Linked DNA regions of Saccharomyces cerevisiae S288C. The protein of the gene in region 2 binds, or shares a complex with, the protein of the main gene of each other region. Each region holds a gene or a part of one and is shown on either strand. Other genes may lie near its edges. The genes, in order: PTA1, SWD2, FIP1 and CFT2.

Region 1 (8,765 bases), on a different chromosome or scaffold from region 2:
CAATCTCAGTGCCCACTTCTGGCAACTCAACATAGGTAGCGTCCCCTAAGGCATCAGTGGCGTATTTTGTAATTCCGACAAAGGCAGTCTTGTCCTGATGCACAGCTATCCACTCATGTTGGGAAGTGTACCTCACGGCTTGAGGTCCTTGGGATGAGTACAAAAATGGTAGTTTATTCTTGTTTAGGGCATTGCCGGAGCTGTTTCTCAAAAACAATTTGCTCACAGTGGGCATGCGGGTGGTCCATAGTCTAGTAGTGCGTAACATTGTCGATGTGGTATGCTTCATGTGGAGATTCCCTTTCCCATTAGATACTTGTTTGTTGGTCTGTATATATAGAAGAAAGAGTTAGCGAAAGTGACTCCGCCGCTGAATGACTCCTTACGGAAGTGTCAAAATTGCGAGGTCCCTATAGCACAGAATGATAGATAAAACATTGATTTGCAAGTTGAAGGAAGACCCTACACATGCGTATATATGATGTATGTAATGGTTGTGATCATTTTAGCCTGTCAAGCAGTGAATCGCACTGCTTGTGTAAGCCTTCATCTTCTTGCTTTAGCTGATGCAGCAGGTCGCGAACAGTGTCCTGCACTGGGGGTCTAAACATAATGAGAAACTTTAGCGTTTGGAAACCAAGGGAACTTCTTGCCGGATCCAGGCAGATAGGCTTCAGTGCCTCAAGATGATCGCTTTGAAGACTGGGCAGTTCGCTCATAAGTCTGATGAAGAATCGTCTGTGTTTGTTTTCAAGGAATGGACCCAGAGACTCGAGAACTCTTAAGGACCATTTTTTGTAGTTAGAGGGATCTTGATGCAGCGAGGTTTGGAAGAACCATTCTTCATTGAGCCATTCAATGATCAGACTGACACGTTGCTCGAAATCCTGGATGAAGAAGCCAAGCAGTTCTTCACGAATCAGGTCACTGGCCTCTTGTGCTTCGATTCCTCTCGTAACCAATCTGATTAAGACGTGTAACCATGACGAGGAGTCGTCATCGTCCAGTAATATGGAGGAGGAAGACGAAGATTTGGCCCGGGTAGTATCCTGGCGACCGGATAATTCAAACAGTTTCTTGGTCAGCTTTGAGAGGTACTTTAGTTTTTCATCCTGCGTCAATGAGTCAGGTTCAAAGGGGGGTGCGATCTCCTTAATGGCAGAAGTTGATTTGTTGGCATCTCCTGAGATTTCTTGGGCGCTTTCCTCTTCTTGAAGCATCTTCTGCATTCGGTCATCGTCTTCGGGCTCCTCTGGTTCCTCCGCTAGTGGTTCTGTTTCCATTTTGATTTTCTTGCTATTAGCCGTTGGGCCATCGTTTCCAACTTCTTCATTGTCGTTGCCGTCGTCATCATCGTCGGATTTCCTCTTTGATGATGACGAGGACGGTACAGAATTGATGTACGTATTCATTAAATCCGTGTACCTCGAAGCAACGATAGACAATCCGGTGATCAGTTTCGTGCTGTCCATTTGCAAGATGGCCTCTGTGGACAGCTTGATAAGTATGTCATTGGGTAGCTGGGTCACATCCTGGTTGGAGTTCGAACTGTTCATCAATGAGTACACAGATGAGTAGGTGTTGCTGATTGGTTTGGGTGAGTTGTTGAAAAAAGTATTGCCCTGGTGTGAAGCCTTGTTGAGGGTGTATTTTTGCAATATCTTCAGTTGATCAAGCATGTTTTCGGTTGAAGAGCCCGTTGCAGGTGCGGACACAGGCGTGGGGGTCTTTGTGGACACCCCTAGAGTAGACAATAACGCGGATAATTGCCTTTTCCATAGTGAGATGTATTTTAGTTTGTCCTGCCTGGACAACGTTTTCTTGCTATTGCCCTTGGAAGGGTCGAAGTTCAAAATTCCCTTGCTCTTGGTCTCTTCGCCAATAACGTGTAAAGTTTGAGAAATCTTGGTCAGCTTGGAGTAGATCGATGACCCTGATCCGGATGAGAGGGATTTTGTAATGATTTGATTTTTTAGCCCAAATTGCACAAAGTTCTTGTACGCCCTTTCAACAAATCTCTTGGATAGTTTGTAGTTCAAGTCAGACTTGCCCTCTAGGGGAAACTTGGCGTCGACGTTGAAACGCAACAGCCCGGAAAGAATTCTTATTGTTGTCTGCGGCCTTCTTTTGATGACGAAGGATAAAGAATTGATGATACCAATGAAAACGGACGAGACCATGTACTGTTCCTCAATTAGGTAGTTTAGCAACATATCAAGAAGCCTCTTAGCCTCGCTCTCCAAAGCCGGTTTGTTCAACACAGGGTGGTTATCCGGGATGGTAGATGAATTAATCTCGTTGCCGCTGGGTGATTTAGTTTGCGACAGCACGACCTCAGATATGAACTTGATGGTCGCTAATTTCACGCCGATATTTTGGTCAATCTGCGCCAGCCATTGTTCGACATCCGTTTCATCGTCAACGGTGGCACGCAAAGGATATGCAGTTCTCCAGTGCGAGAGCACGAACTTCTTCAGCATACACAACTGATCAAACATTTCCTGGTTTGATGTCTTAGCAACCAGATCCAACACCAGCGGGTATGAAGCGCACATAATAAGCACGATATTCTTGTACACTAGTACGTCCGCGGTGGATTGCGCCATAGCAAGAAGTAGTGGCAGATATTGAGCAGCAATAAACGGTCTCTCAGTATTCGCAATTGGAGAGTCCATCGACACCACGTCTAGAACTAACTGTGTAAAAAACTTGGCCAAAGGCAACTTCAGCTTGCTGAGATTACCGTTGTGGTACATGGATGCCGTAGTTTCGAGCACCTTGGGCAGCATCTCCGTTGGATTGTTGTGCATGGCCAGTGTCTTGGCCTGTAACAATTGTTCCATCTCTGCAGATGACATTGCGCTGCTTAGTGGTAGTTATATGCTTCTTGCCACGATTTAACCATTTGTTCAGTCAAGTACTAACGGTTAAAAGGTATCGAAATATGGCAACTTTTCACTTTTAGATCAAGTCACTATATACGACTTGAACATCAGAACGGCGATTTTCCATCAAGATGGAGTGGAAACCACGCCATTATAAAGGAAAGCTAGTTTTATGTCTCGTATACATGCGGAGTAGGACAGTGATATAACACACATAGCTAGACACAATAGACATCATGAAAAGGTCCACGTTGCTGTCGCTGGACGCATTCGCTAAGACCGAAGAGGACGTACGAGTCCGCACCAGGGCCGGCGGGCTGATCACTTTATCGTGCATCTTGACCACGTTATTTCTGCTGGTGAACGAGTGGGGACAGTTCAATTCTGTGGTAACAAGGCCACAATTGGTGGTGGACCGTGACCGACACGCAAAGCTGGAGCTTAATATGGATGTGACATTTCCATCGATGCCATGTGACCTGGTGAATCTCGATATTATGGACGACTCTGGAGAGATGCAACTAGACATTCTTGACGCAGGGTTCACGATGTCTAGGTTGAATAGCGAGGGTCGCCCCGTGGGAGATGCTACTGAGTTGCATGTGGGTGGGAACGGCGACGGAACCGCGCCGGTTAATAACGATCCTAACTATTGTGGGCCATGTTACGGTGCCAAAGATCAGTCGCAGAATGAGAATCTAGCACAGGAAGAGAAGGTTTGCTGCCAAGACTGTGATGCAGTGAGATCAGCATACTTGGAGGCAGGCTGGGCTTTTTTCGACGGGAAGAATATCGAGCAGTGTGAAAGAGAGGGCTATGTCAGCAAGATTAACGAGCACTTGAATGAAGGCTGCAGGATCAAAGGTTCTGCACAAATTAACAGAATTCAGGGGAATCTTCACTTTGCCCCTGGAAAACCCTACCAGAATGCATATGGACATTTTCATGATACTTCTTTGTACGACAAGACTTCGAATTTGAACTTCAACCACATCATCAATCATTTGAGCTTTGGGAAGCCGATCCAGTCCCACAGTAAGTTGTTAGGAAACGATAAGCGCCACGGCGGCGCCGTAGTTGCCACTTCTCCCTTGGACGGACGCCAGGTGTTCCCGGACAGGAACACACACTTTCACCAGTTCTCGTATTTTGCCAAGATTGTCCCCACCAGATATGAGTACTTGGATAATGTTGTCATTGAGACCGCGCAGTTCAGCGCCACTTTTCATTCCCGACCTCTTGCCGGTGGAAGGGACAAGGATCATCCAAACACACTTCACGTTAGGGGTGGTATCCCTGGTATGTTCGTCTTTTTCGAAATGTCTCCATTGAAAGTCATCAATAAGGAACAGCACGGGCAGACTTGGTCGGGCTTCATCTTGAATTGTATCACCAGCATTGGTGGTGTCCTAGCTGTGGGCACTGTCATGGACAAGCTATTCTACAAAGCACAGAGATCGATCTGGGGCAAGAAGAGCCAGTAGAGGAAGAGACTGTCATAGGGAAGAGCCCTTTCTACATACTACTACATAATATATATATATAGTATAGAAATTGGTATATCACTACTTGTACAAATATCATATTGTACGATAATCGCGAAGAACGACGCACTGGTGGGAAGAAGTGGAAAACAGAAGCTTTAAGGTAGAAACAGAACAAGAATGTGGCTATGGTAGGATAGCAGAAGAGTACCATTGCTGTTATCATTTGTTGCCTAGCCCTATCAAGACCTGTCTGCTAATCCAACCCGAGAGATCATGGCGATCCAAACCCGTTTTGCCTCGGGCACATCTTTATCCGATTTGAAACCAAAACCAAGTGCAACTTCCATCTCCATACCCATGCAAAATGTCATGAACAAGCCTGTCACGGAACAGGACTCACTGTTCCATATATGCGCAAACATCCGGAAAAGACTGGAGGTGTTACCTCAACTCAAACCTTTTTTACAATTGGCCTACCAATCGAGCGAGGTTTTGAGTGAAAGGCAATCTCTTTTGCTATCCCAAAAGCAGCATCAGGAACTGCTCAAGTCCAATGGCGCTAACCGGGACAGTAGCGACTTGGCACCAACTTTAAGGTCTAGCTCTATCTCCACAGCTACCAGTCTCATGTCGATGGAAGGTATATCATACACGAATTCGAATCCCTCGGCCACCCCAAATATGGAGGACACTTTACTGACTTTTAGTATGGGTATTTTGCCCATTACCATGGATTGCGACCCTGTGACACAACTATCACAGCTGTTTCAACAAGGTGCGCCCCTCTGTATACTTTTCAACTCTGTGAAGCCGCAATTTAAATTACCGGTAATAGCATCTGACGATTTGAAAGTCTGTAAAAAATCCATTTATGACTTTATATTGGGCTGCAAGAAACACTTTGCATTTAACGATGAGGAGCTTTTCACTATATCCGACGTTTTTGCCAACTCTACTTCCCAGCTGGTCAAAGTGCTAGAAGTAGTAGAAACGCTAATGAATTCCAGCCCTACTATTTTCCCCTCTAAGAGTAAGACACAGCAAATCATGAACGCAGAAAACCAACACCGACATCAGCCTCAGCAGTCTTCGAAGAAGCATAACGAGTATGTTAAAATTATCAAGGAATTCGTTGCAACGGAAAGAAAATATGTTCACGATTTGGAAATTTTGGATAAATATAGACAGCAGTTATTAGACAGCAATCTAATAACGTCTGAAGAGTTGTACATGTTGTTCCCTAATTTGGGTGATGCTATAGATTTTCAAAGAAGATTTCTAATATCCTTGGAAATAAATGCTTTAGTAGAACCTTCCAAGCAAAGAATCGGGGCTCTTTTCATGCATTCCAAACATTTTTTTAAGTTGTATGAGCCTTGGTCTATTGGCCAAAATGCAGCCATCGAATTTCTCTCTTCAACTTTGCACAAGATGAGGGTTGATGAATCGCAGCGGTTCATAATTAACAATAAACTGGAATTGCAATCCTTCCTTTATAAACCCGTGCAAAGGCTTTGTAGATATCCCCTGTTGGTCAAAGAATTGCTTGCTGAATCGAGTGACGATAATAATACGAAAGAACTTGAAGCTGCTTTAGATATTTCTAAAAATATTGCGAGAAGTATCAACGAAAATCAAAGAAGAACAGAAAATCATCAAGTGGTGAAGAAACTTTATGGTAGAGTGGTCAACTGGAAGGGTTATAGAATTTCCAAGTTCGGTGAGTTATTATATTTCGATAAAGTGTTCATTTCAACAACAAATAGCTCCTCGGAACCTGAAAGAGAATTTGAGGTTTATCTTTTTGAAAAAATCATCATCCTTTTTTCAGAGGTAGTGACTAAGAAATCTGCATCATCACTAATCCTTAAGAAGAAATCCTCAACCTCAGCATCAATCTCCGCCTCGAACATAACGGACAACAATGGCAGCCCTCACCACAGTTACCATAAGAGGCATAGCAATAGTAGTAGCAGTAATAATATCCATTTATCTTCGTCTTCAGCAGCGGCGATAATACATTCCAGTACCAATAGTAGTGACAACAATTCCAACAATTCATCATCATCCTCATTATTCAAGCTGTCCGCTAACGAACCTAAGCTGGATCTAAGAGGTCGAATTATGATAATGAATCTGAATCAAATCATACCGCAAAACAACCGGTCATTAAATATAACATGGGAATCCATAAAAGAGCAAGGTAATTTCCTTTTGAAATTCAAAAATGAGGAAACAAGAGATAATTGGTCATCGTGTTTACAACAGTTGATTCATGATCTGAAAAATGAGCAGTTTAAGGCAAGACATCACTCTTCAACATCGACGACTTCATCGACAGCCAAATCATCTTCAATGATGTCACCCACCACAACTATGAATACACCGAATCATCACAACAGCCGCCAGACACACGATAGTATGGCTTCTTTCTCAAGTTCTCATATGAAAAGGGTTTCGGATGTCCTGCCTAAACGGAGGACCACTTCATCAAGTTTCGAAAGTGAAATTAAATCCATTTCAGAAAATTTCAAGAACTCTATTCCAGAATCTTCCATACTCTTCAGGATATCATATAATAACAACTCTAATAATACCTCTAGTAGCGAGATCTTCACACTTTTGGTAGAAAAAGTTTGGAATTTTGACGACTTGATAATGGCGATCAATTCTAAAATTTCGAATACACATAATAACAACATTTCACCAATCACCAAGATCAAATATCAGGACGAAGATGGGGATTTTGTTGTGTTAGGTAGCGATGAAGATTGGAATGTTGCTAAAGAAATGTTGGCGGAAAACAATGAGAAATTCTTGAACATTCGTCTGTATTGATAAATAAAACTAGTATACAGCAAATACTAAATAATTCAAGAAAAAAACATTAGATAGAGAGGGGCAGATGTTCAAGCTATACCCATTATATTGATCCACACTTAGTATTAAGATACGTCTGTGAAGGATGAAAAAAAATGTATAATGTGACTAGAGGAAGTAAGGAGAAAAAACGATAGTAATCGTATTTTAGGTTGTGCGTTTTTATAATTTTTTTTTTTTTGTAATTCTATGCAAATGTAATATAAGTATATTTAAAGAAATAATGAGTCCTGTGAAAACAAAAAGAAAAAAAGATCATTAATGTATGTTAACGTATTTGCTTTGCAAATTTTAATTTATTTGTTGTTAAATGCATTTTTTTTTTGTCGTTTCAGCGAGTTTTCTTGAGGTTGCTACTATCATTAAAATCACAATCCACAGAGGAAGTTGATCTCTTTTTCAGTTGGGTGGGGGCAGAGCATGGGTGAGCAGTGGCCATGGGTCTAACAGGAAATAATCTTTTTGAACGCACAGATAAATTTTGTAATAATTTTCTATTTGACATTAGAGATGGGGTGGTGGGAGTTAGTGGGCTTGGCCAAAAGATGCTTGAATTTTGTGGGATGCTCAGTGACCTTTTAAAAGAATTTTGGGTAGAAGAGAACGAACCTGAATGTGAATGGTGTGATGCAGAGTCTGGGGTCGTCATTGAACTTGAAGTCTTGTAAGGGGAATTGAATGGAGATGGAGAGGATGAAGATGAGGTTGGAGTGAAGGCAAATGGTGGAGAAATGCTATCTTTGGTCAACCTTCTTAAATGAGTGTGATCCGAGAAATAGTCTGTGGCCGCAGATGAAACCGTAGCGCTCTTTGGAGTAGTAGCATTTGAGTAAACACAAGTCAATGAATCGCTGTCAAAGGACTGAGCAAAGATAGTATTGTACATGGTTTCCAATTCTTGTGAACGGTAGAATTCTTCCAGTTTCAATTGAATACAATAGTTTTGTAATGCGTCTAAGAGAGATTTTGCTAAAGATGTCTTATTGCTATTCAAATATTTTGATTTGAAACTGGAGGGGAAAGAATTTTGGTCCATTGCTATATCCAATAAAGTATTAGAGATTTCTGACAATTTAATATCTAGGTCTTGGCAGTTTTCCTCCAAAGCCAGATTGATATTTTCCCAAAGGTTTGAATTATAGTAGTTCAAAGATAATTTGATGAGGTTAATTGCACCCAGCGCAATTAGTGAACGATCATATTTAAATGATAATTCGAGATTGAAGGAAGCTAACTCGCACAACATAATGGCACCCAATTTGATCTCGTTGATGTTCAAAGAGGGGCCTTGAGAAGAGGACGATTTATTAATAGCAGTACCAGCAGCGTTATTTAATAAGGCCAGTTTCTGTTGAATGAAAGCTTCCAAAGGGGCAGAAAGGACAACGCCAGGCGATAACGGGGACGTAGATTGGAACAAGAAGATGTCGATGTAGGAGTCGAATGTTGCCGACTGACAGATGGACCAATCGAGTGATTTGAAAAGATGCATTTCCATAGTCGTGAATTGCTT
Region 2 (7,674 bases):
AACGAAATTAAACTGCTGCGCAAAGATTTAAAGAAAAGAGAGTTCAAAACCATTAAGGACTTAATAATACAATCGAGAATAGTCGTCACCACTTTACACGGTTCATCATCGAGAGAACTATGCTCCCTTTATAGAGATGATCCAAATTTCCAGCTTTTCGATACCTTGATCATCGATGAAGTCTCACAGGCCATGGAACCACAATGCTGGATCCCACTAATTGCACATCAAAATCAGTTCCACAAACTAGTCCTTGCTGGTGACAATAAACAATTGCCACCCACAATCAAAACAGAAGACGACAAAAATGTCATTCACAATTTGGAAACCACACTATTTGACAGAATAATCAAAATATTCCCGAAAAGGGATATGGTAAAATTTCTTAACGTTCAATACAGGATGAATCAAAAAATTATGGAATTTCCATCGCACTCAATGTATAATGGGAAACTATTGGCCGATGCAACGGTCGCGAACAGACTTTTGATAGACCTACCGACCGTCGATGCTACGCCATCTGAGGATGATGACGATACAAAAATTCCTTTAATTTGGTATGATACGCAAGGTGATGAATTTCAAGAGACTGCAGATGAAGCTACTATCCTTGGATCTAAGTATAATGAGGGCGAAATTGCCATTGTAAAAGAACACATTGAGAATTTAAGGTCATTCAACGTCCCGGAGAACTCTATAGGTGTTATTTCTCCATACAATGCACAAGTTTCTCATCTGAAAAAATTGATCCATGATGAATTAAAATTAACTGATATTGAAATATCAACTGTAGATGGGTTCCAGGGCCGTGAAAAAGATGTTATCATATTGAGTTTAGTTCGTAGCAATGAAAAATTTGAAGTTGGTTTCCTTAAGGAAGAACGAAGACTGAACGTCGCCATGACAAGACCCAGAAGGCAACTAGTTGTTGTTGGCAATATAGAAGTTCTGCAAAGGTGCGGTAACAAGTACCTAAAAAGTTGGTCAGAATGGTGTGAAGAGAACGCTGACGTAAGGTACCCCAACATTGACGATTATTTGTAAAGAATACACAAGATGTATAGAGTATACGTCGTTATACAGTAGGTAAAAAATGTTCGTTATATATTATATCCTCTAGTATATCAATGCAGTAGCAGCAGTCATTCATCGTACACGTAAAAATCTACTGTTTCGTCTGCGGTAACAAACATCGAATATTTAGGGTTGAATGCAATTGACCTGGGGCAGGTCTCATGAGAAACACAGGGAATGAACCCTTGCGGCCTTAATACTTTGTTACTTATTGAATCAGAATGATTCCAAATGGCAATCCTACCGTCATAATCGGTTCCAAGGACGAATTCACCATCTGGTGTGAAACAAGCAGATCCAGAATCTAGAAATTCTCTCATCGGGAAGGCCCTTGTTCCTATTAGTTCGAATAATTGTTGACCTGTGAATGCGTCAAAAATTAAATGCTTTCCTATCGAGGAGCCAACTAATAAATACTTTCCATTGTTAGAAAATTCTAATTTATTCCATTGACTGAAAGTCGCATCATTAATTTTAATTATCAAGAAAGGACCCTCCTGAATTTTTTTCAGATTATATAGCCCTATTTCGAAATTCTCTGGGTTCCCCAATGCGAATACAAGGCCACTTGGATCATATGCGATACAATTTGGTACGAGACTTGGTATAATAACTTGCGGTTTAGAGATCTTCAAATCCCAAAGCCTAACGGATTCATCGTATGACGACGATAGAAACGTATCGTTCACGGGGTTCATCTTCAAATCATTCACTAGGGCGCCATGACCGGAAAAATATCTTAGATATTGGTTTGTTTCCAGATTAAGGTATTTAATGTCAAAATTTTTCATTGTAGAGGAATAGATACATTCGTTTTGTGCGTGCGTAAAGATAGCGGAGTGACAGCCATATTTCTTAGAGGCTATAGTGTCCAAGAATTTGCAGTTCGTGGCACTGTACAATTGCATTGTATCGTTGGAAGAAGAGGTCAGTAGAAACTGGCCATTATCGTCGAAATTCAATGAGGTTACGGGTCCGCAGTCTTTTTCTTGAGGTTGAAAGCTTTTAACATGCTTGAATTTCAGCAGGTTGGGCTTATTGATGGACACGGTGGTCATTGTTGGCTATGCTAAAAGGACAAACGGTGTATTTGCTTGTGCTTTGCTCGATATTTTAGTCTTGCTTTCATTTTTTTTCTTTCTTTTTTAATGTACTAGTGCTAAACTGCATGAAGAAAAAATGGGTAAAAAAAGGTATCGAATAAATGAGTGTAGGTAACAGTTAAACAGCAAAAAGAAGGAGCAAAAGAGAGTGAAGATCAGATCGTAACATATTGCAAGATGTTGGGAATGATAAGGTGGGTAGTAGAGGGGACGTTGGTAGCTATGCTCCTATCGGCAATAAGAAGGGAGACGGGAATGATATTCTTTTACAACCAGTATCAGTTGGGCGGCTGGATACATAGATATCTGTCATGGGGAGAGATGTGCTACACAAGGACGCTGAAGATGGTTAAACGTTCTAAATTTTTCAGAAAGCAGTTGAACGAGGACGGGTTTGGACGCATCAATGATAGCGGTCCAAAACGAAGGGGAAGAGATCAATCTCAATACAGCAGTAGGTTTGTAGAACTAGATTAAACTTGCGTGCATGCACGTACACACGTAAATATATTCGTACAAATAGAGTGCTTACATATATTCAGTTCAGATTATTTATTTTGTGGTGCCACAAGTTTTTTCTAATAGGATCGTATTTGATTGCTAGCAAGCTATAGGCCTTAACAGCGTTGTCTCGGGTACAAGGGTCTGCCCCCCAGTGATATGCCAGGAATTCCAGGGCATATGAGGACTCGATCTCGGGCAAATCCTCTGGTGAGCCAATTGGAAGTGACAATACGTCACCGATGAAGGTTGTGGCGAAGTCGACTACTTTGCTATCCCACTGTAGCCTATCATGGAATAGCTCTTGGAAACCACGGAGGTAGGTCCACGGACTGATGTTCTGCGGAACCAATTGAATCTTGTCCATAATGAACTGGAGCTCGTCGGCCAATTCCACTTTTGAAATGACATCTTTAGCGTTCACCCAGTAAAACATCCTATGAGTCCATGCGCTGTTGTTATAAATGTCTGTCTCGATGAGGTCGCTGGCGTAGGCGAGCTCATGTTGAAAGTCACTGAAGAACAAACAGCACCACTTTCTGTACGACCAAACGTGATAATTCTTGGAATCATCATCAATCATCAGTTTTAAGATAGGCAGCTCTCTTTTGAAGGAAGGAGACGGATGTAGCTTCAAAAGAGACTGTCTATAGGACCAGATCTGATAGTTCTTTGGATTATTCAGCGTAACTTCATCTAGCCAGTCTAATTCCTTGTTCAGGTACAAGACAGTGTCTTCGGATTCACTCATCATGTGCCTGACGATATTGAATCGGTAGTTCCATATGGTGTAGAAGGCTGGCGCCACGTCGATAATTTCGGCTGTTAGCTGTAGTGCCCTGGGTGACAGTTCGTTAAGGCTGATCAGAGCCCTTGCGAGTCCCATCAACCGCTTATAATCCTCGGTATACATAATCCTGCACAGTTCATCCTGCAAGTCTGTCTCAATGGGCAAAGGTTTAACGTCTGAATAATCGTACTCCTCCATTTTCGATGGTGTACGTTGTATCAGCACTTGATATATAATATACCATAATTAACAGTCTTGCAGTAGGTCTGCACCAACAGTTAAGGACCAATTTAACAGAATGTCAAAAGCGAAACTTTGCTGATGTGTTTTATCACGAGGCCCAATCGAAAACCGGCGCGAGCACTGCTGCAACCTTCAAAAATGAGAGAGCGCTTCCCAGCAGGTCTCTAGTTGCATATGGATAGCGTCATGATGAATATAGGTCAGCATAGGGCTCTGGAAGGCCTGGCATTATCGGTTATTGTCGCTATTGCTGCCCTTTTCTCTGCTCGTGTAAGGTGACATTGTTGTATTCCCGCTTTTTTCGTTTCAATTTTAACGGCAAGGAGCAACCATGAAAGTAAGATGATCGCATGAACTGAAAATGTCAACGAAACTCATTCAAAATAATTATACTCTAGATATCCTCTAAACGACTAATCACAACAGTAGTACACCACTGAAAATGATGAGTGGCACAGGAAACGTTTCCTCGATGCTCCACAGCTATAGCGCCAACATACAGCACAACGATGGCTCTCCGGACTTGGATTTACTAGAATCAGAATTACTGGATATTGCTCTGCTCAACTCTGGGTCCTCTCTGCAAGACCCTGGTTTATTGAGTCTGAACCAAGAGAAAATGATAACAGCAGGTACTACTACACCAGGTAAGGAAGATGAAGGGGAGCTCAGGGATGACATCGCATCTTTGCAAGGATTGCTTGATCGACACGTTCAATTTGGCAGAAAGCTACCTCTGAGGACGCCATACGCGAATCCACTGGATTTTATCAACATTAACCCGCAGTCCCTTCCATTGTCTCTAGAAATTATTGGGTTGCCGAAGGTTTCTAGGGTGGAAACTCAGATGAAGCTGAGTTTTCGGATTAGAAACGCACATGCAAGAAAAAACTTCTTTATTCATCTGCCCTCTGATTGTATAGCGAAGGACAAGTTTTTCACCAGCTCGGACGATCCCACCAACTTGACAATACCCAATAGGGACATCAACGAAAGGACTCTTTTCTTGGACGCCTTTCTTTTGTGTGCATCTAACAACAATAGCAACAACTTCAAGCAGACCTATGTTTGTAATAGATGTATCAACAGGGAAAAAAGAAGAGCGTCGAGAAGAAAGTCTGGGTTGAACGACAACTCCATCTGGCAAAATAACGAAAACAAAAGAGCAATCATATTCAATAGTAAACAACTTTTCATCATTAGTAATAACGGTTTGAGTGGTAACTCTAACTGTATCAATTTCGACTTACCGACGAGAATCGTCTGTTACTGCAGACACCACAAGGCAACTAACGGGTTTGTAGTTTTGTTCCTTCTAAGGGACCATAACGGCGATATCTTGGCGAAAACTATAACAGATCCCATAATGATCATGGACAAGAAAAATGCCAGCAATACCACAACTCCAACCAGCACCAGCAATGCCCAGGTTTCGCCAATGACAAATGACACTAGATCCTTTTCATCGCCGCAAAGTGACTTAAACTTCCCATCCGAATTCCCCCTGCCTTCTAACAGTAAAAATTTTGTCATTTCTACGAACTGTATGCTTGATAGCAATTGTAATAACAACAACAATGATAATGATAACAAAAACAACATTAAGACTAATACCGCAATGATGAACAACAACAGACACTTTCCATCACCAAATTCCTCCAGTGAGGACAGCAACCATTCTTTTTCAGATATTCATTTTTCTAATAACAACGACAACAATTTACATCGTTCACTAGACTCTTGGTCGTCCACAGGTTTTAATAGTTCATCTAATCCCGCTCTTACTACATTAACTAGTGATTTCAGTGCGGCCTCTGCGAGACACACTGGCAAGAGGCAGCGTTCGGTAAACGAGCCTTTTATGTCTACGCCTAATACGTTTTCCCGTCTTCCCCAGAAATTCATCGATTCTTCCAAAGATATATCGAACCATAATAGTGTCCCCGTGGCGCTAAATAACAAGCCTTCTATTCAGCGTGTCATCCCCGCACAAGGTTCCATCAACGGAGGTATAGAAGTGACTCTACTTGGCTCAAAGTTTAAGCAGGGCTTAATCATCAAGTTTGGCGAAAATATAGCATTGTCCAGCCAATGCTGGAATGAATCTACGATGGTGACTTATTTACCGCCTTCATCTAAACCTGGACCGGTTTTGGTAACCATAGTCGACCCAAGTGAAACGTCTATGAGAAATAATAGCAATAGTAGTGTTTCCACCAGCAATAGTACCAATGACATTCTGCACTTAAACAAGTATACCGGTGAGAAAGCAATCTTTACTTATGTTGATGATACTGATAGGCAACTAATTGAATTGGCTCTGCAAATTGTGGGGCTGAAAATGAACGGTAAACTGGAAGATGCAAGAAATATTGCTAAAAGGATTGTTGGCAGTGATTCATCTCCATCTAATAATAACGCAGGATTACACTCACAGAATAGCTCTTTAAATTCGTACACGAATATGATGCGAAATATAAACGATGAACAATTGATCACTGAAGTTATTAAGTCATTTAAGAGAAATAATAATCTCTCTACCGTCAATCTTTCCATGTGTGACGTTAGGGGTAGAACTCTATTACATCTGGCAGCATTCAATAACTGGTATAGTCTTGTCTCATTACTAATCAAATATGGGTCGCATTTGAACGACCAAGATTTATTTGGTTTTACTCCGCTACATATGGCGTGTATTAATGGTGACTTGAGAATTATAAGACTATTGTTAGAATGCAACGTTAATATTATGAAGAAAACCAGAAACGGCTTTATCGCTAAACAGTTCTTCCTGATGAATTATACTGTCAACAAGACCAGATATTCTAATTATGAAACCAGTCTGTTTGACGACATTCTGACTAGATTAACGAAGAATACAACAGGATCCAGTGATACTCAACCGTTTGAGAGAAATGTATCCCAGTCAAGTTTCAACTCAAGTTTATTTGATGATGACGATGCTGATCATGACTATGTCCAAGAAAGAAAATATTTATTGGCGGATTCCGCTGCCCTTGCCCCCGAACAATCCAACTGTAATGACAATACGTCATTCTCAATCCTAGATTCGGATTCAGGTTATGACATAAGTGATTGTGAATCATCTTCAGATGAGATTGCTTTGGAGTTCTTTAACACCCACAAAATCAAGGACTTCTCTTCAAAGCCAAATGAAATACCAAAAACTACTAAGACTAGCATAGAGCCTGACGGATCTTTATGGAACAGAATGCTAACTCGTTTAAATGACGAGCTCCCAAAGTATGAAGACTTGTTCCCAAAAAAACCCAAAAACTGGGAACTTGGTAGCAAATCTGTGGAGATTGGGCCAGATAATTCTGCCCAAATGACCGTGGATGATTCTCAAACTTCTTCTGAAGACGATGAATTAGAAGCTTTACAGGTCGGGTTCAACACAATCTTTTCCAAGAAGCAAAACTTTCAGAATGATAAGATGCTCCTATTCTTTTGGATCCCCTTAACTTTAGTACTCTTATTATGTTTCACATTATCGAATTTGGGGAAAGATGATGATATGTTTCATAATTTATCCAAAATTGTTCAGGAATATTTAAGAATTGGTTTAGCCAAGGTACTACTAGGCAACGAAAGGATGAAAACCTCTTTTAAAATGCAGTTATCGAAGTTTCAAAACAATAACATTCTAAACGACATGCGAGTCAATTAAAGACATTTTTCTAGCTACATAATCCTTACACTATATAGATTCATTTTTTATTATTTTGCATTTTTGAATTTTATCTTCTTTATGTTACTGAATACTACTTATACTGTCTTCATTTTTTTTTTGCTTAGAATTATAAAGTTCAAGATCAAGGCCGAAAATTTTTTAGAACATGAAAAATTGAAAACTCATGGTACCTCATCTCGAAAAGATCCTAAGGGCCAAGTCAAGAATTCGTGTAGAAAAATGAGTGCTATAGGCGACAAGAACCAATT
Region 3 (7,767 bases), on a different chromosome or scaffold from region 2:
TTTTGCTAATTTTCTAGACGCTTTGGATCATGACTCCACATCTTTCAATCATGGGCCGGATGATTCATCCAGTTTTCAAAGAGACAGTTCAAAGAAAAGCTTCAATTCTCTTTGGGAAAGCAGTTACGAACTAAAACCGCCACCTTCCATAAGAAAGCAACCTATTGCCCCCGACGTCCTGCAAAAATTATTAGAATCAGATACTAAAGATGACGCAGATTTGGAAAAAATTAGAGAAGAGCGTATAACTGAACCAAGGACTGGTTTGGGGATTGGAATGCTGAAAACACCAGTTAAGGATGTTTCAATTGCGCTAGCTGCAAGCATTAAAGGATATGAGGCAAGTTTCAGCGATACTGACTCTCGTCCAGAGGGCATGAATAATAGTGATGCCATCACTTTGAACATGTTCGACGATTTCGAAGAAGATAAAATGACCCCTTCCACTCCAGTTCGTAGTATAAGTCCAATAAAACGGCATGTTAGCAGTCCTTTCAAGGTCGTGAAAGCTGGAAACAAACAAGAGAATAATGAAATAAACATTAAGGCTGAAGAGGAAATAGAGCCAATGACGCAGCAAGAAACCGATGGTTTGAAACAAGATATTCCTCCACTGCTAGCGCAGACAAAAGATAACGTCGAAGCAAAAGAAGAAACGATAACTCAACTTGAAGAACCACAAGACGTTGAACAAGAATTTCCGGATATGGGAACACTTTATTTAAGTATAAAGGCTATTTCCACGCTTGCATTATATGGAACTAAGAGTCATAGAGCAACATATGCTATTGTTTTTGACAATGGGGAAAATGTCGTTCAGACACCCTGGGAGTCGCTTCCGTATGACGGTAACATCAGGATCAATAAGGAATTTGAATTGCCCATAGATTTTAAAGGAAAAGCCGAAACATCCTCCGCTTCTTCTGAAAGAGATAGCTACAAAAAATGTGTTATCACATTAAAATGTAAATATGAAAAACCTCGACATGAATTGGTCGAAATAGTAGACAAGGTGCCGGTGGGTAAGAGTTTTTTTGGAAAGACAAAGTATAAATTTGAAAAGAAGTATGTACAGAAAAAACCTAAACAAGATGAGTGGGATTATCTATTTGCACAAGACGGTTCATTTGCTCGTTGTGAAATTGAAATTAATGAAGAGTTTTTGAAAAACGTGGCATTTAATACCAGTCATATGCATTACAATATGATTAACAAGTGGAGTAGAATCGCAGACAAAATTCACGGCTCAAAAAGGCTGTACGAGTTACCACGCAAGGCGCCTCACAAAGTGGCTTCGTTGGATGTGGAAGCATGTTTCTTAGAAAGAACTTCTGCCTTTGAACAATTTCCCAAACAATTTTCATTGGTCAATAAGATTGTTTCCAAATACAAGTTGCAACAAAATATCTATAAAGAAGGGTATTTATTGCAGGATGGTGGTGATCTGAAAGGAAAGATAGAAAACAGGTTTTTCAAACTGCACGGCTCGCAACTTTCTGGTTATCATGAAATCTCTAGAAAGGCTAAGATCGATATTAATCTGTTGAAAGTCACGAAAGTCCTACGTAATGAAGACATCCAGGCGGATAATGGAGGGCAAAGGAATTTTACAGATTGGGTACTCTTTAATGAATGCTTCCAGCTAGTATTTGACGATGGTGAAAGAATTACTTTCAACGCGGAATGCTCTAATGAGGAAAAAAGTGATTGGTACAATAAGCTCCAGGAAGTTGTTGAGTTGAATGTTTTCCATCAACCCTGGGTGAAAAAGTATTGTGAAAAGTTAGCTGAGGAGGAAAAGACTCGAACAACCGGTCATAATTTGAAGCAAGATTTTAATTAGAAGGTGATTAATGGAATGAAAACAGCATATAATCTGATGACTGAGAGGTCTTTAGTTTAAAGATTAATTAAATACACATAATAAGAGTAAATACGTGAATCATGGACGATATATTTTTATTTCAATTTCACAGATCCCCATTCATTTCGAATTTTGATTTTGATTTTGATTAGGCTGTTGGTTCATGGGTGGCATCATACCTGGCATGGGGAATGGTGGAAAGCTACCAAACATAGGTAAGGGTGGGAAGCTTGGATGCATTGGTGGAGCGGGAGGGTTTGGTGTTCCAGACATACTATTACCCATATTACTGTTCAGATTAGACATATTTGCATTGTTTACGTTGTTGTTGTTATCAATTATATTACCGAGGTTTGAGTCTGTATCATTCGCGGAATTCAACTTCCCTTGCTGTTGGAGGGATAATAGGCCCATTAGGATCCTCCTAGGATTATAATCTTGTTGTAGTTTTTCCTGTCTATGTAAATACTCCATCCAGGTAAATTCGTTAAAACCGTAATTGAAATAATCACTTAAGTTGGCCCCCGGTTGCCTCCAGGGTTTCTCCTTTAATACTTCAGGATCTATTGTCGTTATGCCAACACTATCAAAGATTCCCTCTTTATCCAGGTCTATAGAACCAGTCATTGCTTTCGGTACATTTCCATCGCTCTCTGTAGCTTTTACGGTCGTTGCCGTTACACCTTGATTTGCTTCTCCTTCTGTTATTAGTCTTTCATCTGATGTCTTTGTGATGGTATTGGATACATCTGTAGCTACGCTAATTACGTCTTTGCTTGAAGATGTCGCTGCGGTAGAATAAGAATCGAGTAGTTTTGCATCTAACCTAGTAGGGTCAGGACCCAGACTTATGATAACCTCTAGGTCAGAATCACTATCGTCATCTGAGGAGTCAGAGTAGATATCTTCATCAGAACGATCATCTCTGGCAGTAGCTGGAGTTTCTTCCACGGGAGAGTCGAATTTTTGCCTTTTAACTATATCAGGATTACTGGACGCACCTGCGTCTGCTTCATCATCTCTTGATCGTTTAGATGAAGGTAGTGCTAATTCGGAGTCGGAACCATACAAGAACTTGTCGTCTTCGTCTTCACTGGAGCTCATTTAGAGAAATGCTAATAATTTTAGTGTAGGCAAAAGGAATAAGAATGCAAAGCACGATGGTGCGGTTTAACAAAGTGAATTTGGTGATGTACTCTCTCAAGATTTATGTCGCATTATTCGCTACGAAGGTTTTTCAAGATTAAAACGAATCTCCTTTCCCATCGCGACATACGATAAGGCTAATAACGCTACGGTATTATGTCATGGAGCTTGAGACATTGAATACATATATATACCTATATATAATATATATATATGCAAATACACAAATTCTTAGCAATTTGAGTGAGACAATGGAAATAAAGAAATGAGTGTGAATGGATATATTTTGAGGGAAGGGGGAAGATTGTAGTACTTTTCGAGAATTAAGAATAGGTTTTACTAAACTTGTAGGATATTTCTTGAAACCTGACCTTGTCATAATAATCTTGATCATTAGAACTGCTGAAGGAGTAAGCCGCAGCATATCTTGACAGTTTGGAGTTCAACTTTTTTAGGAATTCTAACTCTTTTGAATTTAATTTTTGTAGTGATGGCGGTGGTGATTTTTCAACGTCGAAGGCAATTTCTAATGGGTAATAGTAGGAGGGCACCTGAGGTTCATCTATAAATGGATCTGCCTCATATACATTATCGGAGGCGTTGTTATTATTGCTGGTATTATTATAGTAATTACAATTAGTGCTTTTATGGTTGCTATAGTGACGATTATTAAAGGAATGTATGTTATCAGTATGTGGTGGAAACTGATCTTGATATTGGGAGTATGAATCCGTGTTTTTTGAATTTATTGATTCATGAATATTTGTGGGTTTTGAATAGGTATAATTAGTGGTATATGGGTAGAAGTCTTGTGTGTATGGGAATTCATTGAATTCAAAATTTTCTTGGAATATTTTGATATCTTTTTGTGCATTTGTATTAGTTTCATATTTTATTGTGTCACTAATATCGATATCATCTCCATTTCTGTTGCTCTTTTGAAAGTTATCATGGTTATTGAATGATGAGTGGAACGTAGATGCGGATTCATCATTAGAAAAAAGAGATGATAATGAAGAGGATCTGGTACTTTCAGAGCTCTTTTTTCCTCTTTCAGGACCAGTTGCCATTGTGCAGTCCTTCGTAGTTTTCGTTTCCTTGGAAATAGGCTGAGAATCAATATTTTCCAAATTCAGAAACTCTTCATTGAACAATATTTGAGGATTAATTAAATGAATTGGTTGTGTATGAACCAAGTTCTGCAGCTGAGATGAGGCAATTTTGTCAGACTTTTCAAAATGCCAACTTCTAGGGGAAATTGTAGATCCAAAAGAAAAACAAGGACGGTCTTCTTGATCGGTGGTTGTGTCATAATAAATGTTAGGTTGTTGTTGCTGTTCAAAAGGAAAGAGGAAGAAACCATCTTCTAAGGCAGCGTGAAGTTTTCCATGCATATCCGCTTGCATTTTGTTTGTGGGGAGAGGAATAGAAAAGCTTTTCTTTTATTATTTTTTTCCTTTTTCACCAGTAATGGGTGCCAGTAGGAATTTGTTTCTCTGTAGGTGACTAATGACAGTAGTATATTATGCTTTTAATCTTTAACAATACTACTGGTCGATTTATAATATGATAATGTAAAATAAATCGTAATAGGATAGTCGATGTTTGTATCTACTTCACGAAACAGTTATGGTATACGGTAGTTTAAATATCTGAAGAAGCAAAAATACCGAACTACAAGGGAAGCATTTTGAGAAAAATATTAAGATCAAAAGATAATTAATTTACCTTAAATACATAAAAGAGGAAAAGTAATATACAAGGTAAACAACAGGCAAGGAACAAGATCAAAAACGTCCGACCCCAATTTAGTAGTAAATTACAGTAAGAGAAAAAGGTATTGGGGCTGATACATATTAATTGTGCGTTGTTGTTGTTGTTTAATTTTAGATTGGCTATTATGAGTACACACAAAACGTTGTAAACGCAATCACCCATGGATAAGCGCTCCCTTTAAAATGCACTACGAAATCATTGATCTACTAACTTTAAACCGGACTTAAACCATCAAAGGGTGCTCTAGATCTCATCGATGTATTCTGATGCAGCCAAAATTGCGCAATCAATCACGTTTCCCGATATAGAAAACTAATTGGCTGTGTTACGTGGCTGGGGGTTCTGTAATTCCTTTCTTCCCCGGTGAATCATCAAGATTGGGCTAAGCGCCTTTGATCCTTTCCCTCGAAGACGGAAATGGGGCCGCAGGATAAAAAATGGTGTGTCTGTAATTCCGATTTTTTGCTTATGTAATCATGTAACTTTCTTCTAGTCCCTTTGCAGACATGCATGACACTTCCTTACCCGAATAGTGAGTTAGATCTGTGTTAGGATGCAGGATGGGCAGTTCAAAGGCTTTTCTTATCGTATCTTTACCTTTTCCTGTAACTAAGAAGGTTTTTGAGTGCATGTAAAGGCACATAAATGAAACTTTAATTCCCTGCGTATTTAAGACCCAAGAAGCCACCATGACGCTTCCTTGATGTTGTATCTACCCCCAATCCTGGCGCCCCCTCCTGCGGGCACGCATGCGCCTTTGATCCTTCCCCTCGAAGACGAAAAGTAAACAAAGATACGCACTTTTTTTCTCCAACGCAGTATTGAAGGTACCATCACATGCTTACTCACTTTGCGGCTGCTATAACACCGTGGCAGTGTAACGTTTTACCGTTTGTCCTTTGCTACCGCATTTTAAAGTGGTACAAGATGTTGAGAGAAAAGATTTCCTGCAGCCATGATTAGGAGAGGTAATAGCGGATGACATCAACGAATAAGCTTTATCCAGCGGCTTGTATAGTTCTGTGTACACAATTACTGCCGGGCTCTCTGAGCATTTGCGTTTCTCGGGCTAGCTTCATTACTTAGTAACTTCAAATTAATGAAATATTTAATTATCATGATTCCAAACAAAACTACTTTAATTTCAATCACATTTTTGTTATCTGCCTGAAACGATAGCTGTACGGGTACGTTCTTGATAAATAAAACTCAGTGTTTAAAACTCTCTTTTTACATCTGTTCGCCGATGATTGCTTGCTCGGAGGTACTAGTCATCGGAATTGAGGAAATTCCTTTTCTCCTTTGTTTTCTCTTTATCCCCGCGTAAATACGCGGAATGCCAATAATCAAGTACACATTCTTTCTCCAAGTTGGCCAAAAAATAGTTCAAATTCTTTAAACTAAGCGCTATTAATTATTATTAATTATATAAGTTTGAAAATATCAATGCAGGACCCTATTTCTTCACGAGGGTGTATCCAGAAACGGTTTCTTATATAGTGTTGGCGCTCACTTTTTTCCTACCCACGTCTATATATGCAACGCCTACTTGTTTTAATCAACATCACAATTTTATGCTTTTGAGGTACAGCAGTTAGCCGTACGTTTTCGGCAGTCGCTAAAAATGTAAGCGCGGCATTTACTGCCATTTAGTGGACTTCTTGAGGTTCTTTTGACATCCGCATTCTTGCAGCAAATACACCCCCACCCTTCTTTTATTGAGAATATCTACTGAACCTCCGTGAGGGAATACATTAATCAAATTACTCCAACACCATACGGGCCGTGGCGGAAAGAACAGCATGATATAGATAATATATGATATGAATTGATTTTTTTTTCTTTTTTTCTTGCGGCTGGTATGGTATTGTAAGGATGATAGTGCATTCTATGAGTGATTTTTGTGACGGTGACGTACGATCTCTATACCTTTTTAGCCGCCCATCTTCTGCCTTTCATTTTTATGCCAACCCTCCATCCATACATCCTTTTTAACCCATACATATCATTTAGATTATTGTTTTTTAATTTTTTTTTTATCAGATGTTGTTCATCGCGAAATTTATAATCTTTCGATTGAATCGCACTTGTCGTGCATAATGATAAATACCTTCCGGAGAGAAAACTCAGACCCACTGGGAAGTTCCTACCTGCCGAGTAAGACCAGCTTGAAAAATTTGAAATTTCAACTGAGAATCAGAATATATTACTGCCCTTCGTGTTGTAGGGTTATTCATTAACTATATACGATATTATAAACAGCATAGATAATCAAACAAAAAAATGTATGCATATAATAGAGGAATTGGATGACTAAATGTTCTTATATTGGAGTTAGTGGAGATGCGTGGTAGATTTGAATTAAATAGAAAGTGCTGGGGTTGATAAACCACGAAATATCGCAGTTGAGGAGAATGATAAGCCAGGATAGATGGTAGCGCATTTTTGGGGCAATCTCACTGTAGGTCCACCACAACTCAATATGACTACATCGAATCAGTTATAAGGCAAGTTTTTAGTTTACTAACAAATATTTCCATCTTATTTTTTTTTTTTGCAGGGCTAAGAGAACAAAGAAGGTCGGTATCACAGGTAAATACGGTGTCCGTTATGGTTCATCATTGAGAAGACAAGTTAAGAAGCTTGAAATTCAACAACATGCCAGATATGACTGTTCCTTCTGTGGTAAGAAGACTGTTAAGAGAGGTGCAGCTGGTATTTGGACTTGTTCCTGTTGTAAGAAGACCGTTGCCGGTGGTGCTTATACTGTTTCTACTGCAGCTGCCGCTACTGTTAGATCTACCATCAGAAGATTAAGAGAAATGGTTGAAGCTTAAACTTCTTTCATTCATTTTCTCTTGGCTTTCACTAGGTATATCTATTCCATAACGACTATGTTTTGTATTTGTTAATTTACATAAAACCATATCAGTACATCAACGAACTGTAAAAAAGAAACTTTAGCATAATTATTGCGGATA
Region 4 (9,273 bases), on a different chromosome or scaffold from region 2:
TCTCAAAATGAGATACGTCAGTATGACAATACGTCATCCTAAACGTTCATAAAACACATATGAAACAACCTTATAACAAAACGAACAACATGAGACAAAACCCGTCCTTCCCTAGCTGAACTACCCAAAAGTATAAATGCCTGAACAATTAGTTTAGATCCGAGATTCCGCGCTTCCACCACTTAGTATGATTCATATTTTATATAATATATAAGATAAGTAACATCCGTGAGTTAATCTGATAAACCGTTTTGACAACTGGTAACTTCCCTAAGACTGTTTATATTAGGATTGTCAAGACACTCCGGTATTACTCGAGCCCGTAATAAAACAAAAACAATAAATCTTGTTCCTCGTGGCCCAATGGTCACGGCGTCTGGCTACGAACCAGAAGATTCCAGGTTCAAGTCCTGGCGGGGAAGATTTTTTTGCTCCGACAATTATGTCGCTACCCTTCAGTTTTGTTGAAAATGATGCTTTTATCGTTAACTTTACTTATCTTTATTGTTTGCAAGATTACTATTAATATTAAAGAGGGTCTAGCAAGGATACTGCGATTGTTTCTAAATATTTCAACTTTCTACGTTATTCATCTTTAGGAAGCTAAAAAGCATTCAAAAGATTACTATGAAGTTAATCTTTAAACATAGTTTGATGAGCGTCTATGCAAATAGAATAACTTCAAAAAATTTTCTATTCCATTTTTGGAAAGCCCCAAAAAGCTATATTCTATAATTTCTGAATCTTATTGTGCTTGTGGAGGTCACCCCAGTTTTCTATAAATTATTATTCAGCTATTATCCCAATACGACTAAAGGTATTGAGATTCACGGATATTTTTTCCCCTGCAACTTTCACAACTGGAGGGCTCTGTTTCTTGATTTTCTTTTTGTCATATAAACATATCTTAGCGCGATTGCTAACAAATAGTATAGATATCATAATTTTTCCTCATCCTGCACACAATTACCTATAGCAGCGTCATTCGCACCGCCCTCCTCATTGGATTTTTTAACTGTATTTCTCGTTTTAGATGAGTCTTCAACATTTCTATCGTTTTCATAAATATCAGTTTTACTGTCGGAATTTTTATTGCTCTCAGGACCACCTTCAATATCTTTATCTGCAACGGTTTCGTCCTCATTAAAATTTTCTGCATTACCCTCAAAATTCTGTTCATTTTCTTTATCATGATCAGTGTTAATGTTCGTAACGTCTGTAAAACCATTGCTAAAATCTTGACTGTCTTCCTTATCGCCATTTTCATCGCCCTCACCGTCATCGCCATTTTCATCGCCCTCACCGTCATCGCCATTTTCATCGCCCTCACCGTCATCGTCATCGTCATCGTCCTCACTATCATCGTCATCACCACCATCATCATCATCATCCTCAGAGTCCTCATCAGTATCATCATCTTCATTGTCCTCACTATTTCCCACCTCTTCACTTTGTTGATCTGTCTCCGCATCAGGTTTATAATGTAAACCCAAGCCCATCATAGCTTTCTGTATCGCGTTCGATGTTTTACTTCTGTTTTTGAGATCTTCTGTGGATTCAGTAACATCTTCATTAGCAGTATTCTTTGGTTTATTGAAATATTCCTTCCATGAATTCCATAAGTTGGCTGCTGGCTTGTCTGTATTCTTTCCAGGATTTACAGAAATTTGGGAAACAGACTTTTTTGACTCGATGCTTTCCTGGTCTTTGATATCCTCCTCGCTTTGATGACCATTTTTATTGCTTGAAGAGTTGCTAGAGCTTCTTTTTAAATTATGAAATGTGGCCAAAAATCGTTGCTGTAATAGAGACAGAGTGTCGGCACCGTTATATATATGCTTCGGAGGAAACAAGTCGAACAATCTATCATCTGTTCTTGAGTTGAATATCAGAAAATTTTGAGTCTCTTTCCAACTCTGAACCCAATTCAAATTGAATAAATGAACGGGATTGGAATTTAGCATATCCTCAGGTATAGTCTTCAAAGCTTGATCATTCTCTTTATGCAGGTCCAAATAATCACTTAATTTAACACTGGAAAGTAACCCCGTTAAATAGTCCTCGAATTGCCACCTAATGAAATCCTCACTGCCTTCAAATTGAGAGTTTTTTGGAGTTTCATCATCATTTTCGTTCCATGTGTCTGATACAATTCCAGATATAGATTCAATCCATTTTTTATCATGACTTGACAATTGGAGGACGGGGTTCAAAGTCTTGTCCAGAATATCTACAGTGGAATTGTCTGTATTGACAAATATGTGGCACAGTTCCTCCTTTTGTTCAGCAAGCAATGTGTTGGAACTTCCAATCATAAAAAACAAAGTACGTTCTGACCGTATGTCATTCATTTGCTGCAGTGGAGTATAGGGTGAAAATAGTCCACCTTTTTCGAAAATCGGTAATGGAAAACCTAAGAATCTCAACACTGATTCTCGATTGCTTGATTTAAACGAGTCCACAACATTTAATTTCGAAATATCCTGAAACAACTGAGGACTGCCAGAATCCTGCAAATTTGACATCAAGTCCGGAATTAAGCTGATCAGACCGAACTGTAAATTACACAAAGCTTCCACGTCGTTGCCGTAAACTATAATTTTTTTTTCAAGCATAATTGCTTTCAATAAGACTAAAGCGTTTCTCTTAAAATCATGTAGTATCTTTCTCAGACATAACCCAATATAAAGACGATTTTCGGCATTTCTGACCAATGATGCAGGCGTGTAAATCGACTTCAGGTTTTCGTATAAAGACTGGATTATCTTCCTGTCCCCAAAATCATGCTGCAAGAAAAAAGCATTAGTCACAATACTAAGTTTGTCCTTGATTTGACCGAAGATTGGTTGCCTTGAGATGACTACAATTGCCTTCTGTACAGTAGATCGTGTTACATCCTTATCTTTAGTGACCAATTCATCACTCTTTATCTGTCTCGAGCAAGATATGGCAAACAAAGTCGTGTTGTCATTGATGCTATCATCACTCAGATCAGTTGCCCCGTTGGGAGGGCTCCTTTGTCTTCTTTCATCATATAGTAATGTGAAATAAGTAAATGTTTCTTCAAACGAGTGAGAACCATCAGGAAGGGCCTGGAAGGGTAAATTTGGCCATAGTTCTGCACTTTGGGTGCCCTCAGGTAAGCCATACCAGTATTCTATTTCAGGGCCTCTTTTGTGATGAAAGTCCACAAGGCAGATACCGAAGATGACTGCTTCCTCGTGTTCATCCATTATTTTGACAACAAGGTTGCAGCGAGGCAGAATGTATATGTTAGTTTGATATGGTCTTCCTGCTTGGATTCCTTTAAGGCTTCAAAATTTTCTTGAAAAGGAAACTTCGTGAATGAGCTGTAAGGATGCTTGATCGGGCCGTACATTCTTATGCAAGATCCATTATTGACTGCTCTCTGTTGGGTTAGCTTCCATATCTTCCGTTACCCGTTCGTATAATCATTACCCGACGGACAAGCATCATTTCAGCGGCTATTTTTGCTAGGCAAACCTCCTAAGCAATGATACTTCTCAAACGTTCAATGGAAGTAATAGAAGTTCAACTTACCCCATTAATAATCCACACATTAGAAGGTTGGGACAATAAAAATAAAAAGCATTAATTAGTGTAAACTTTGCTCCCAAATGCAAGTCTAAGGTAAGTTCTTTGGTTCATGGAGTTTTTGCAGTGTAATCTCACGTGCACTAGACTGAGTAAAGCGAACCTGAGTTCAAGAAATAATGATTCACCTATGACATATAGTCCAACTATACAAGCAATGAACCCTTACGGATTGAAGTCATTCAATGTTCAATGTTTGTTGTAATAAGAAATATTACTAGAAAAAGATTTTTTCTTTCGGCGGCGTTTTCCCGCTTTTCTTAAACAATCTGCAGTTTTAACATCGAATTCACGAATATTTGTTCGCTAAAGAAATAACACAGAAGATGAAATGAAGAACATACATTGAGGGCGACGAATATATATGACTTATAAATACAATTGCTGTGATGATGGATCAGGAACCACCGTTGGTTCAGTGGTACGATTTGATAACGTCACCTTGTTAATCGATCCCGGTTGGAATCCATCTAAAGTATCGTATGAGCAATGCATCAAGTACTGGGAAAAAGTGATACCGGAAATTGATGTAATAATACTATCACAACCAACAATTGAATGTTTAGGTGCTCATTCCCTTCTGTACTATAATTTTACCTCGCATTTCATATCCAGAATTCAAGTTTACGCAACTCTTCCTGTTATCAACTTAGGGAGAGTTTCCACCATAGATTCATATGCATCTGCAGGTGTTATAGGTCCATATGACACAAATAAACTCGATCTTGAAGATATTGAGATATCTTTTGATCATATTGTACCTTTGAAGTACTCGCAATTGGTAGATCTACGATCAAGATACGATGGATTGACTTTACTGGCGTACAATGCTGGTGTGTGTCCAGGTGGTTCTATTTGGTGCATTAGCACATACTCAGAGAAATTGGTTTATGCAAAGCGATGGAACCACACTAGAGATAACATACTAAATGCTGCTTCTATATTGGACGCCACTGGTAAGCCCTTATCAACTTTGATGAGGCCCTCTGCAATAATTACTACTTTGGACAGGTTTGGCTCCTCTCAACCGTTTAAAAAACGTTCAAAAATCTTTAAAGATACATTAAAGAAAGGTTTGAGTTCGGATGGGTCCGTTATAATACCGGTAGATATGAGTGGCAAATTTCTGGACCTGTTCACACAAGTTCATGAGTTATTATTTGAAAGCACAAAGATCAATGCGCACACACAAGTACCTGTACTTATTCTGTCTTACGCGAGAGGAAGAACTCTAACATATGCCAAATCAATGCTCGAGTGGCTGTCCCCTTCACTACTTAAGACATGGGAAAACAGAAATAATACTTCTCCATTTGAAATTGGATCACGGATCAAAATCATCGCACCAAACGAATTGAGTAAATATCCTGGTTCAAAGATTTGCTTCGTATCTGAGGTAGGAGCTTTGATTAATGAAGTGATAATTAAAGTTGGTAATTCTGAGAAGACAACCTTGATTTTGACCAAGCCGAGCTTTGAATGTGCGTCGTCTTTAGACAAGATACTAGAAATTGTTGAACAAGATGAAAGAAATTGGAAAACATTTCCTGAAGATGGTAAATCATTCCTCTGCGATAATTACATTTCAATAGACACCATAAAAGAAGAACCCTTGAGTAAAGAGGAAACAGAGGCGTTTAAAGTACAGCTTAAAGAAAAGAAAAGGGACAGAAATAAGAAAATTCTACTGGTGAAAAGAGAGTCTAAGAAACTGGCTAACGGCAACGCAATCATAGATGATACCAACGGAGAGAGGGCAATGAGAAATCAAGACATTTTAGTGGAAAACGTCAATGGAGTACCACCGATTGATCATATTATGGGGGGTGACGAAGATGATGATGAAGAGGAAGAAAACGACAATTTGTTGAATTTACTCAAGGATAACTCTGAGAAATCAGCAGCGAAAAAAAATACGGAAGTTCCTGTAGACATTATAATTCAACCAAGTGCCGCTTCAAAACATAAAATGTTCCCATTTAACCCCGCTAAAATCAAGAAAGATGATTATGGTACTGTTGTAGATTTTACGATGTTTTTACCTGATGATTCTGACAATGTTAATCAAAATAGCAGGAAAAGACCTCTCAAAGACGGTGCTAAAACCACGAGCCCTGTAAACGAAGAAGATAACAAAAATGAAGAAGAAGATGGTTATAATATGAGTGATCCAATTAGCAAAAGGAGCAAACACCGTGCTTCTCGTTACTCGGGATTTTCTGGAACCGGAGAAGCAGAAAATTTTGATAACCTTGACTATTTAAAGATAGACAAAACGCTCTCCAAAAGAACAATCTCAACTGTAAATGTCCAATTGAAATGCTCCGTAGTAATCCTAAATTTACAGAGTTTAGTTGATCAAAGGTCTGCATCTATTATATGGCCATCGCTAAAATCTAGAAAAATAGTTCTTTCCGCCCCCAAACAGATTCAAAATGAAGAAATTACGGCAAAACTTATCAAGAAAAATATTGAAGTGGTCAACATGCCATTAAATAAGATAGTGGAATTCAGTACAACAATAAAGACCCTGGATATCTCCATTGACTCCAACCTCGATAACCTTTTGAAATGGCAACGTATCAGTGATAGTTATACAGTTGCCACTGTCGTTGGCAGGCTGGTTAAGGAGAGCCTACCGCAAGTGAACAATCATCAAAAAACAGCGTCAAGGAGTAAACTAGTCTTGAAACCATTACACGGTTCATCTAGGAGCCATAAAACAGGTGCGTTGTCAATCGGTGACGTTAGGTTAGCACAATTAAAGAAACTTCTCACAGAGAAAAACTACATTGCAGAATTTAAAGGGGAAGGTACACTTGTCATAAATGAAAAAGTAGCAGTCCGCAAAATCAATGATGCAGAAACTATTATCGATGGTACGCCTTCCGAACTTTTTGATACTGTCAAAAAATTGGTTACGGATATGTTAGCAAAAATCTAGCCTTCTTGTATACAGCACAAATAAAAGGTTCAATTTACGTTCGTGGACTGCCCACAAAACAGTATGTGACATAAATTGCTGTGTATCTCGCACCGCTATTATCTGTATATAACATTCTAACTCACTTTTAACGATATTAGCATTATTGATTTCTTTCTTTTTCTGCTGAATTTCACCAAGCGGAAATTTTCAAAGCAGAATTTTTTCCCTAATTTGCTACAAGTGCTATTCTATCCCACAATAAAAGGAAATTGTTGATGAGTTTTAGAAGGATTAACTCTAGATACTTTGAAAATAGAAAAGGAAGCAGTATGGAAGAAAAAAAAGCAAAGGTTCCTCCAAACGTCAACCTTTCGTTATGGAGAAAGAACACGGTAGAAAGCGATGTCCATCGATTCAATTCTCTTCCATCAAAAATTAGTGGGGCCCTAACTAGGGAACAAATATACTCCTATCAAGTCATGTTTAGGATTCAAGAAATTACCATCAAACTGCGTACGAACGATTTTGTGCCCCCCTCCAGGAAAAATAGGTCACCTTCTCCGCCACCAGTTTATGATGCCCAAGGTAAAAGAACGAATACCCGTGAGCAGAGGTATAGAAAGAAACTAGAGGATGAACGTATTAAACTTGTTGAGATAGCCCTAAAGACCATCCCTTACTTCGTTCCTCCGGATGATTACAAGAGACCTACCAAATTTCAGGACAAGTATTATATCCCGGTGGATCAGTATCCTGATGTCAATTTTGTTGGTTTATTATTAGGTCCTCGTGGACGTACGTTAAGAAAGCTGCAAGAAGATTCGAATTGTAAGATTGCAATTAGAGGAAGAGGTTCAGTCAAAGAAGGTAAGAATGCAAGTGACTTACCTCCAGGCGCCATGAACTTTGAGGACCCCTTGCACTGTTTAATTATCGCAGACTCGGAAGACAAGATCCAAAAAGGTATAAAAGTTTGTCAAAACATTGTTATCAAAGCGGTGACATCTCCGGAAGGCCAGAATGACTTGAAACGAGGACAACTGAGAGAATTGGCGGAACTTAATGGTACTTTAAGAGAAGATAACAGGCCCTGTCCAATCTGTGGTTTAAAAGATCATAAAAGGTACGATTGTCCAAACAGAAAAATCCCAAATATACAGGGCATTGTTTGCAAAATATGTGGACAAACTGGACATTTCAGTAGAGACTGTAACTCATCGTCTCAAAGAATGAGCCGTTTTGACAGAAACGCCACGGTAAATAATTCTGCGCCAATACAGAGCAATGACGTACACTATAATAGCAATACTCATCCAATTCAAGCACCAAAAAGATCTCGTTATGACAATAACTCGACGGAACCTCCTTTAAAATTTCCGGCTTCTTCACGTTATGCACCATCACCTTCACCTCCTGCGTCACATATTTCGAGGCAAGCTCAAAACGTGACGCCTACACCCCCTCCCGGCCTAACATCAAGTAGCTTTAGTTCCGGAGTTCCAGGAATCGCCCCTCCCCCATTACAAAGCCCTCCAGAGTCGGAACAACCGAAATTTTCGCTACCTCCACCTCCCGGTATGACTACGGTACAATCCTCAATTGCACCTCCTCCTGGCCTAAGCGGTCCTCCAGGGTTTTCTAATAACATGGGCAATGACATTAACAAACCTACACCTCCGGGACTGCAAGGGCCTCCCGGATTATAATACACTCCCATTATACAATATCTGCATTTTTTTTTATTTGTGTTGAAGGTATGTAGTCTCTATTTTGCATAGTTCCTTTTTTTGTTGGTTTTTTGCCTTCCTGGTTATTATTAACTTTTGATATTTAATTTACTTACTAGCTTATTCTACTACTGTTTAGTTTCTACGGCCTGAACTACAATGACAAAAATATTATTTCACGATACCCTTACCTTTATTCAAAGTGCCTGTTCCTGTTTCCATTTTTTGGCTAGTTCCAAGAACTTTGATGGTTTTGGCTTGTCATCATCGATATCATCAGGAAAAATGTAATCCACGAATTCTTCTTCCACACCGTTCTGTAACCTCACTTTTTTGATTACTTTAGGGAATCTTTTCTTGACGGTTTCTTGATCGAGTTCAGTACCGTAAGTTTCTTCATAGTCTTTTAGCGCTTCCAAAATAGACAGTCTCCCTTGTTTATCATCCTTCTCCTTGAAAAAAACTATCGCCTCTTCAAAAACTTTTCTTGCCTCCAATTTATTCTCATCGGTAATTTCAAACTCTATGTCTTCATCCACATTTTCGCTTTGCAGTTTTGCTAAATCTAATAGTTGTTGCTCCGTCGGGGTTGAAGTTTGATACATGGCGAATTCGATCCAGCTTTGGGGGGAATATTGGTTGAGCTCCAAATATCTTCTATAAAGCTTCCTTGCCTTTTCAAATTCTTGTGATTCTGTCTCAAATGTTATGTATTTTTGAAGTAATACAATTTTAGCCTCCTTTGTTAAGAAATCAGAATTTTCATCTAGTGCAATTGTATATATACCTCTTACTCTATCCCAATCTCCTAAATTTTCTTCTAGTTCTCCATATTGTGACCAAATTTGTAGATCAGAGGGCTGAAATTCAATAAATTTCTCATATATTTTTCTCACACGATCAAATTCCTTCAACTTCACTTCCAACTCGATATATCCTTTGAAAGTTTTAGCCTTAGGACATAAACCGATTGCTTTACCCAAAATTTTTCTCGCCTTCGGTACA

The links.
Region 1: SWD2 (region 2) and PTA1 share a complex: the UniProt entries of both Saccharomyces cerevisiae proteins name them as parts of the APT complex.
Region 3: SWD2 (region 2) and FIP1 share a complex: the UniProt entries of both Saccharomyces cerevisiae proteins name them as parts of the cleavage and polyadenylation factor (CPF) complex.
Region 4: SWD2 (region 2) and CFT2 share a complex: the UniProt entries of both Saccharomyces cerevisiae proteins name them as parts of the cleavage and polyadenylation factor (CPF) complex.

Annotation. Positions count from the first base shown.
Region 1 is NC_001133.9:58,195-66,959, forward strand, and holds PTA1 (RNA-processing protein PTA1), read right to left. Parts: upstream 2,859-8,765; coding exon 501-2,858; downstream 1-500. Other genes in the region: GCV3 (glycine decarboxylase subunit H), read right to left, coding at 1-268; retrograde cargo receptor ERV46, read left to right, coding at 3,122-4,369; Rho family guanine nucleotide exchange factor CDC24, read left to right, coding at 4,646-7,210; cyclin CLN3, read right to left, coding at 7,584-8,765. UniProt on the Saccharomyces cerevisiae protein: Essential in pre-tRNA processing. Component of the cleavage and polyadenylation factor (CPF) complex, which plays a key role in polyadenylation-dependent pre-mRNA 3'-end formation and cooperates with cleavage factors including the CFIA complex and NAB4/CFIB.
Region 2 is NC_001143.9:398,560-406,233, reverse strand, and holds SWD2 (WD-repeat containing protein SWD2), read right to left. Parts: upstream 2,133-7,674; coding exon 1,143-2,132; downstream 1-1,142. Other genes in the region: ATP-dependent 5'-3' DNA helicase HCS1, read left to right, coding at 1-1,044; MCO12 (Mco12p), read left to right, coding at 2,355-2,654; RAM2 (bifunctional protein farnesyltransferase/protein geranylgeranyltransferase), read right to left, coding at 2,716-3,666; SPT23 (Spt23p), read left to right, coding at 4,154-7,402; MAK11 (Mak11p), read left to right, coding at 7,484-7,674. UniProt on the Saccharomyces cerevisiae protein: The COMPASS (Set1C) complex specifically mono-, di- and trimethylates histone H3 to form H3K4me1/2/3, which subsequently plays a role in telomere length maintenance and transcription elongation regulation. Involved in mediating RNA polymerase II termination.
Region 3 is NC_001142.9:601,236-609,002, forward strand, and holds FIP1 (cleavage polyadenylation factor subunit FIP1), read right to left. Parts: upstream 2,969-7,767; coding exon 1,985-2,968; downstream 1-1,984. Other genes in the region: BUD4 (Bud4p), read left to right, coding at 1-1,843; transcription factor IME1, read right to left, coding at 3,334-4,416; 60S ribosomal protein eL43 RPL43B, read left to right, coding at 7,070-7,071, 7,347-7,623. UniProt on the Saccharomyces cerevisiae protein: Polymerase-regulating component of the cleavage and polyadenylation factor (CPF) complex, which plays a key role in polyadenylation-dependent pre-mRNA 3'-end formation and cooperates with cleavage factors including the CFIA complex and NAB4/CFIB.
Region 4 is NC_001144.5:374,006-383,278, forward strand, and holds CFT2 (cleavage polyadenylation factor subunit CFT2), read left to right. Parts: upstream 1-3,979; coding exon 3,980-6,559; downstream 6,560-9,273. Other genes in the region: AVL9 (Avl9p), read right to left, coding at 939-3,233; mRNA splicing protein MSL5, read left to right, coding at 6,817-8,247; CLF1 (Clf1p), read right to left, coding at 8,466-9,273. UniProt on the Saccharomyces cerevisiae protein: RNA-binding component of the cleavage and polyadenylation factor (CPF) complex, which plays a key role in polyadenylation-dependent pre-mRNA 3'-end formation and cooperates with cleavage factors including the CFIA complex and NAB4/CFIB.